Drosophila melanogaster: one gene and its partner. The protein of the gene in region 1 interacts with the protein of each later gene in a pairwise test. Each region holds a gene or a part of one and is shown on either strand. Other genes may lie near its edges.

What was found. The genes of interacting proteins can lie anywhere in the genome.
Region 2: the proteins of Taf1 (region 1) and Tbp interact in binary tests that used the Drosophila melanogaster proteins (3 or more experiments, as listed by UniProt).

The regions. Positions count from the first base shown.
Region 1 is NT_033777.3:6,644,938-6,649,899, forward strand, and holds the start of Taf1 (TBP-associated factor 1), read left to right. Parts: upstream 1-1,951; 5' UTR 1,952-2,052; coding exon 2,053-2,234; intron 2,235-2,356; coding exon 2,357-2,664; intron 2,665-2,727; coding exon 2,728-2,991; intron 2,992-3,045; coding exon 3,046-3,257; intron 3,258-3,322; coding exon 3,323-3,948; intron 3,949-4,007; coding exon 4,008-4,388; intron 4,389-4,443; coding exon 4,444-4,962. UniProt on the Drosophila melanogaster protein: TFIID is a multimeric protein complex that plays a central role in mediating promoter responses to various activators and repressors. Largest component and core scaffold of the complex.
Region 2 is NT_033778.4:21,685,692-21,689,297, forward strand, and holds Tbp (TATA binding protein), read right to left. Parts: upstream 1,952-3,606; 5' UTR 1,762-1,951; coding exon 979-1,761; intron 915-978; coding exon 636-914; 3' UTR 501-635; downstream 1-500. Other genes in the region: eIF3k (eukaryotic translation initiation factor 3 subunit k), read left to right, coding at 1-419; BaraC (baramicin C), read right to left, coding at 2,413-2,699, 2,768-2,819; CG10307 (uncharacterized protein), read left to right, coding at 3,352-3,531, 3,593-3,606. UniProt on the Drosophila melanogaster protein: General transcription factor that functions at the core of the DNA-binding multiprotein factor TFIID.

The DNA.
Region 1 (4,962 bases):
TATCTATCAATGTTCCATCCATATTTTGATTTAGCTGCGTAGTATCTGATAGTCGAGGTAATCGACTAGAATTTGTTTCCTTATTGGACGATAAGAAATTTTGTACCGTAGGCAAGCTAAGTTTACATACCCTCTCAAGTAAAAACATCTCATGTAATTTTACAATATTGTCCGTATGAACGTGTGACCCTCCATGTCCCCCCATGCCCCGCCATGTCCGACCGTGTCCCAATGACGGGACTTGGCTTGGTGCGGGCTGACACGAATCTCGATCTATATGTGGATATTAGTAAACACATGTATGGAATGTCATGGAGTTCTCCTGATAATCGTGTTGGTGACAGGTAACAGCAGTGCGTTATACAGCGAAACAAGAACTATAGATTTCTTTAAGCATGGAGATGGCATATCCAGAGCCATTCCATTAAATATTCCCCCTCTAGGTAGACCTTTCTAAAAGCTATCGCAGGCAGTAACCCTCTAGTCCTCGTCCTACACAAAAACTCGAATATCAAGTGCGACATTCTGAGGGATTGTACTGAAAAACACAAGATTCACTTTGCTTTTCGCAGCCACTTTCTCATCTTAATGATCATATTCTTTCTGCAACAGCGTAAATACTTGCCACCCATCTCCAAGCTTCAAAGTGGCTTAAGTCCTGATCACGGTCGGTATACGTAAATATACGTATATTTATTTTTATTATATCATTCATTCAGCGTGGATAATTAAGTTTCGAAAATTTAATTTGAGGCATTTTATAATGAAGGGAAATTCCAAAAAGACGAAACACAAAAAAATATTCGATTTTTACTAGTCTACCTTTAAATTTTCCCACTTTGTGGTTTTCCATATCTGGGAACAGAAGCCTTGGTAAAGGTAAGTTATAAAACATATAATTAATTTGAGGTACAATGAAGTCGGTCACGGAAAGAGATTAGCAAAAAAATGTACACAATGGCATTGGTTTGTGTCCTAGAGAAATGCTGCCTTGAATTAAAATGATTCTTTAGAGTTTAAGCCATGAAAACGAATTTTCAGCCGGTTTAATCATCAGAAATACATTTTATAACGAAAATCTATTGAAAAACCATAGATTCATTTGATGTAAAAGTTTCAGGATCGGATTCTTGAAGGTGACTAAATTTGTGAGCTCAGCGTACTCTTCCTTTAATCCGTTCAAATAGTTCAAAGCCTGCATATAAAAATCCTACATTCCCATGCAGTTCTTTGGTACAAATATGACAATTTGTGACAGTACAAATCCCAAAGTTGTGGATAGTCTCTTCGAGATTATCATTAAAACGATTCTCAGCTAGAGAAAGCGCAGTTGGTAAAATCGTTTGAGTAAAACCAAGTTAAGAAGAGACTTCTGAAAATAAACATATATATATTTATAATAAAAAATGAATAATAAGAAATATATAAAAATTGATGGTTTAAGTTTTTGCTATCTGAAGTAGTTATGATTGTTTGCTACAGATTTCTGTAAAATCTGAACAACAATAGAGAAATATAGCTCCTTCAACGTTACAAAACCGTAACACAAATGTAGGTCTGAGAACTGTAATTCTAAATTGGCATTGTAGTGCTTATGTATGCCCATTTTTTCTCCAATGAGCGTTGAATAAACTATTTTTGGCTGAATAAAGTTATATTTTGATAGAAGCTGAACAAAAGTGATCGTGTTAATGGTGTTTACAGAAGTTCTATTCAGAAATATATAATTATACAAATGAAATGTACGAATATCAAAGGAATATATATTTTTTAATAAAAATCCACGTATGCCATACATGGTACAAAATTGCCAATTAAAAATATTACAGAGCCCTTTTTGTTGGACACTAACCTTCGGTACAAAACGCAATTGACCTTCCCAAGCTCCCAACCCTTGTCCAAATCTAATCGCGGATTTTCTGGTGCCAGTGGGGAGCCATGAGGCATCTTTGCTTTGTCCATCGACGGTCACACTTACGCGTGTGAAAAATGCAATTACACTCCGTCGAAGAAAATATACTTTAGCCGCGTAAACATTGCAAGCCCATAGAAATGGAGATGGAATCTGACAACAGCGACGATGAGGGATCGATCGGCAATGGATTGGACTTGACCGGCATTCTTTTCGGCAACATCGACTCCGAGGGCAGACTGCTGCAAGATGACGACGGAGAGGGGCGCGGGGGCACCGGTTTCGATGCGGAGCTCCGGGAAAACATTGGTTCCCTTTCCAAGTGAGTACACATGCTTGTACATACATATGTAAACCCGGTATCATTCAAATATATCTTAATTCACAAGATATAAGACACTTTTAATTACATTTCCATTCATATTGCGTATGGATTACTTTCAGATTGGGTCTGGATTCTATGCTGCTCGAGGTTATCGATCTCAAGGAAGCCGAGCCTCCGTCGGATGACGAGGAAGAGGAGGACGCCAGACCGTCAGCCGTCAGTGCCAGCGAAGGAATGAGTGCCTTTGATGCGCTCAAAGCGGGCGTTAAAAGGGAGGATGGCGCCGTAAAGGCTCAGGACGATGCCATTGACTACTCTGACATCACCGAGTTATCCGAGGACTGCCCACGCACTCCGCCCGAAGAAACAAGCACTTATGATGACTTAGAAGACGCCATTCCCGCCTCCAAGGTAGAGGCCAAGTTGAGTAAGTAAGACCGTAATCTACAACGGTTTGATGACATTTAATTTAACCAGTTAACACTGGTAGGAGAGGATATTGCTCAAATTTTTAAAGGTCTATGCAATTCCTGTCAAAGTGACACGATTACTTTTGCACCGCTCAGGTTGGGTTCAGACCTATTGCTATACAGAGAGAATAACTCACATTTTGTTGCAGCTAAGGACGACAAGGAACTAATGCCTCCACCAAGTGCACCAATGCGCTCCGGCTCTGGCGGCGGCATCGAGGAACCGGCCAAGTCAAATGATGCATCTAGTCCCAGTGACGATTCCAAATCTACCGATTCAAAGGGTAAAAATTATTTGAAAACAATAGAATTTTTTTGTCAATGGTCATTCCTTTAAGATGCGGATCGGAAGCTGGACACACCACTGGCAGACATACTGCCGTCCAAGTACCAGAATGTGGATGTGCGTGAGCTCTTTCCGGACTTTCGTCCCCAAAAGGTGCTACGCTTCTCCCGTCTCTTCGGACCCGGTAAACCCACGAGTTTGCCCCAGATCTGGCGACACGTGCGCAAACGCCGCCGCAAGCGAAATCAATCCAGGGATCAGAAGGTAGAAGATCAGAGTACTTTTAAACGGGACGGGATCACCAGGAAACTTTTCGTAAACCATTTCAGACGACAAACACTGGTGGTTCGGACTCTCCAAGCGATACTGAGGAGCCACGAAAGCGGGGCTTCAGTCTGCACTATGCTGCAGAGCCAACGCCAGCGGAGTGCATGTCCGACGACGAGGACAAATTGCTGGGCGACTTCAACAGCGAGGATGTGCGTCCAGAAGGACCGGACAACGGCGAGAACAGCGATCAGAAGCCAAAGGTGGCTGACTGGCGGTTCGGGCCTGCACAGATTTGGTATGATATGCTAGAGGTGCCCGACTCTGGAGAGGGGTTCAACTATGGCTTCAAGACAAAGGCAGCAAGCACCTCGTCTCAGCCGCAACTCAAAGATGAACGCCGTGTAAAGAGTCCAGAAGATGATGTCGAAGATCCAAGCATTGCGGATGATGCCTTTCTCATGGTCTCCCAGCTGCATTGGGAAGACGACGTGGTCTGGGACGGTAACGACATCAAGGCAAAGGTGCTCCAAAAGCTTAACTCAAAGACAAATGCAGCCGGATGGTTGCCCTCGAGCGGGTCGAGAACGGCTGGCGCCTTTAGCCAGCCGGGCAAACCGTCTATGCCCGTGGGAAGTGGAAGCTCCAAGCAGGGTTCGGGAGCATCAAGCAAAAAGGCCCAGCAAAAGTAATTAATTGAAAGTTGAATTCATACGTATTTTACACTAATATTTCAATCGATTTTAGTGCTCAAGCAAAGCCAGCGGAGGCACCTGATGACACCTGGTATAGCCTTTTTCCAGTTGAAAATGAGGAGCTAATATACTACAAGTGGGAGGACGAGGTAATCTGGGATGCCCAGCAAGTGAGCAAGGTGCCCAAGCCGAAGGTACTCACTTTGGATCCCAACGACGAAAACATCATTTTGGGTATTCCTGATGACATAGATCCCTCTAAAATCAATAAGAGCACGGGTCCTCCACCTAAGATCAAGATACCGCATCCTCACGTAAAAAAGTCTAAGATCCTACTTGGCAAGGCGGGTGTGATCAACGTGCTTGCGGAGGACACACCTCCGCCGCCACCCAAAAGTCCTGACCGTGACCCCTTTAACATATCCAATGACACGTAAGTCTCTTAATATAATAATGGATGCAGAATGCAGATTTTAATTCCCTTTCAGTTACTACACACCGAAGACAGAACCCACCCTACGACTTAAGGTGGGCGGTAATCTTATTCAACACTCGACTCCGGTGGTAGAGCTGCGAGCTCCGTTTGTGCCTACGCACATGGGCCCGATGAAGCTCCGCGCCTTCCATCGCCCCCCCCTAAAGAAGTACTCCCACGGGCCAATGGCCCAGTCTATCCCTCATCCTGTCTTCCCACTGCTGAAGACCATCGCAAAGAAGGCGAAGCAGCGCGAAGTGGAGCGCATTGCCTCCGGTGGCGGAGACGTCTTCTTTATGCGCAACCCAGAGGATTTAAGCGGAAGGGACGGAGACATCGTACTAGCCGAGTTCTGCGAAGAGCATCCGCCTCTGATAAACCAGGTGGGCATGTGCTCCAAGATAAAGAACTACTACAAGCGTAAGGCTGAGAAGGACAGTGGGCCGCAGGATTTTGTTTATGGAGAAGTGGCCTTTGCGCACACAAGTCCCTTCCTGGGCATCCTGCATCCTGGCCAGTGCATACAGGCGAT
Region 2 (3,606 bases), on another chromosome or scaffold:
CGGATTTCGTGATGGCCAAGTGCCTGCTGCTGCCCCAGCAGATGAAGGACGAGAATGTGCAGACAATCATCGACCTCGCCGACATACTGGAGCGGGCGGACTTCACCCTCTTCTGGCAGCGGGCCGAGGTGAACCGCAACATGTTCCGCCACATCACCGGCTTCCACGATTCAATTCGCAAGTTCGTCTCGCATGTGGTGGGCACCACATTCCAGACAATTCGCAAGGACCTGCTTAAGGAGCTGCTCGGCGGCATCGAGGACTCGACGCTGGAGAGCTGGATCAAGCGCAATGGCTGGAAGAACCAGGGCCAGGGACTCGTCATCGTGGCCATGCAGGACGACAAAATCAAGACGAAGAACATTACGGAGAAGATCGAGTTCGACAACGTGGGCGCCCTGATGGCCCAGTGCCTGTAGGAACCTCATTCGCGTTCATAGTCCTTGTCTAAATTTTTACGAATAGTAATTAACGGAAAAAAAATAATAATAAAAGCCTGTCCGTACAGCTAAATTACTTTGTGGTTTATTCTCGATCGGAGCTGCTCGCCAGGCTGCTCCCACTCATATGATCAGACTTCCAGAACTACCGACCTTAAAACGTACACGTACAGAACTAATAAAGCGCTATCCTATTTATGACTGCTTCTTGAACTTCTTTAAAATGGGGAATATCTTGTCGAAGGCATCGTAGATCTCCTGCCGCACCTTTGCTCCAGTGAGCACCACCTTTCCGGACACGAAGATGAGGAGCACGATTCGAGGTCGCACCATACGATAGATTAAGCCGGGAAATAGCTCAGGCTCGTAGCTGCTGAAGTTGCAATGGGTCAGCACCAGGCCTTCCAAGCGTATGGGGAACTTGACATCGCAGGAGCCGACCATGTTTTGAATCTTAAAGTCGAGGAACTTTGCCTGCGGGAGAGAAAGCGTTAGAGATTCGCCGGGAAGAGAAAGGAAATGTAAAGTCTTGTCTTACAGGGAAACCGAGCTTTTGGATGATGCGCGCATACTTTCTCGCTGCCAGTCTGGAGTCGTCCTCACTCTTTGCCCCTGTGCACACCATCTTGCCGGAGCTGAAAATAAGGGCGGTGGTCCGGGGCTCTCGGATTCGCATAATCACAGCCGCAAATCGCTTAGGATTGTACTCGGCGTTTCTCGCATGCAATGCTATTTTCTTGAGGTCCAGTTTGCAGCACAGATTAACCGTGGACACGATGTTCTGAAGTTGTGGCACAATACCGGGATCAGCGGAACCTGGTGTGGCTGGTGTCATCGGCGTGGAGGGGCCCATCGTCTGGTGGATGTTGCTCAGGGCATCTCCGCCACCTCCGGCCCCCGAACCGCCCACACTCCGCTCACTCATGGGCATCATGTGGGCCATCATGCTCTGCGGCGTCTGCGGCTGCATCATGGACTGCGGAGTGCTCCCACCGCCGCCGGGCGCCTGACTCTGGAGCTGCTGTTGCTGCTGCTGCTGCTGATAGGAGGCCGATGGCTGGTAACTCTGCATTTGTTTGTGCGCCAGCGGGAGCGATGGTTCGTGGCCAAAGAGACCTGATCCCCCACTGGCGTCCGACTGCTGTTGCTGCTGCTGGTGCTGCACGGAACTGGAACCGGGTGCCGGCATCAACGAATCCGGCTGCGATACAGCCGGAGGATGGTACACAGGATTGGCCACTATCTGCTGGTCCGCTTCCATCTGGTGGAGCGGCGTTCCGATGCTCGGAATCGAGAAGTTGGGGCTTAGCATTTGGTCCATCTTACAGATGGTTTATTGTGGACTCCGGTGAATTTTTCAGTGACTCAATTCAAGATTGCTGAACGGGCTCAACTTTGGGTTTTAATTGCATACCCACAGAGCGGGAAATTAATTTAATAGTAATAATAATAATAATGTAATGCAACCGCGTTCGTCGTTGTACCTGTGGCTCGTTTTGTGAGAATGGCAAAGTCAGCGCTGCATTTTGCCGCAACTATCGATAGCTGGCTGGGTCTTACGTTTATCGTTACGTTCTTAGCATTTAAGTATTTCATTGAAAATATGTATGAAAATAATTATAACAATAATTATCTTTGATTGTATTTTAATGTTTAGTTAAAAATCACACTTCAACGTTTCAAATATTTCTTATACGTTAAATCTCTCCCTTACGTTGTTGCCAATCGATAACTAAAATGGCGCACTTTTCAAAAGAATCAAGTATACTTTGTTGTACTTCTGTTTAATAGCTAAATAATTTGTGTATAAGGTGAACAAAAGAAATAGCGAATAAATAATAGTGCATAATACTTAGAAGGAAAATGGTTATTCTCATCTATGCAGTTTCAGCAATAGATTTTCGTGGGCGTGAACTGAAAAACGATGTGTTAAAAATTAATTAATTGGAACTTTTGCACTTGGAAAGTGCAATTAAATGGTTATTAAACTAATTAGAAAAATGAGAACGCCGCCCATGCTGAAACCGAAGGTTGAATAGGCCAAACTTGTGACAGTTGCCGTTGAGGAATGGGTGTAAGTATTTCCGTGCTCATCGGTGTAGGAATGCTGCCCACTTGAGGGTGAGTTTTGGAACGTTCCTCCCATTTCGGGCACTGTGTAGGGTCCTTCGTTCTGACCCCGTATGTAAATGCCGTTTCCAGGTGTGCCGAACTCATGGGGACCATTTCTTCCATCATAATTCTGCTGCGCATTTGTCACTGGAGAAAAATAGAGAGAGAGTGTTGAATGGATGTGGCGGTTCTAGTGGTTCCCACACTTGACTTACCGGCAAACAACAGCGTGCTCACTATGAAAACAAGTAAAGTACACGATCTCATGATGCAGTTTCCAGTCACTGAGCTCAATTTCAACTGAGAGCGGCTCGGTAATTTACAATCTATTTATATAAACCGATAGAAAGACGAGCTTTTTGCCAATTAGCAGCTGAGAATGGGTAATGTCAAATGTTGAGCTTTCCTTGTGCGACAAACATTACAAGCGACAATGTACCAATTTTAAAATAGAACTACCCTATTGCCAATATCTAGCATTTTGCGCATGCCTTTACCCAGGAAATGAAATTTTTAATTTTAGTTCATCAGCTTGGGAAGAGAAGGCAGGCAAAAGAGAGTGCAGCAAATAGAGATTTTTGTGCATATATAGACTCCGAGAATCGTTATATAACATGCACTCAAAACAAACGAAAAAACGCGCAAATCGGGCGACAGTTCGAAACTACAAAAGACAAGGCCTGAAAACTAAGCTACTAGCGCCAAAAACAGAGTAGGTTTTCCAAAGAGTGTGAAATAGTTTGGAACCCAAGACAACCAAATTCAAGTGCTGCAGAAGTAAACACTTAATAAGGGCGACATGGAGAAGGTTTGTCAGTTTTTCCGCAACAACTACGTGCTGGCCAATTGCGAGGATGCCATATACAAAAAGGCATTCTCCCTGAATCTGTCCCACTACCAAATCTCCGACGTTCCGGGCATCATAGAGAAGTGCGAGACGCTGATGAAGCTGTTCCTCAACCAAAACAAGCTAACAAAGGTGGCACCTGGTGCACAAGATAGCCAATGAAATAATAGACTCACAATCCCTTGACTCACAGATTCCATCCTCCAT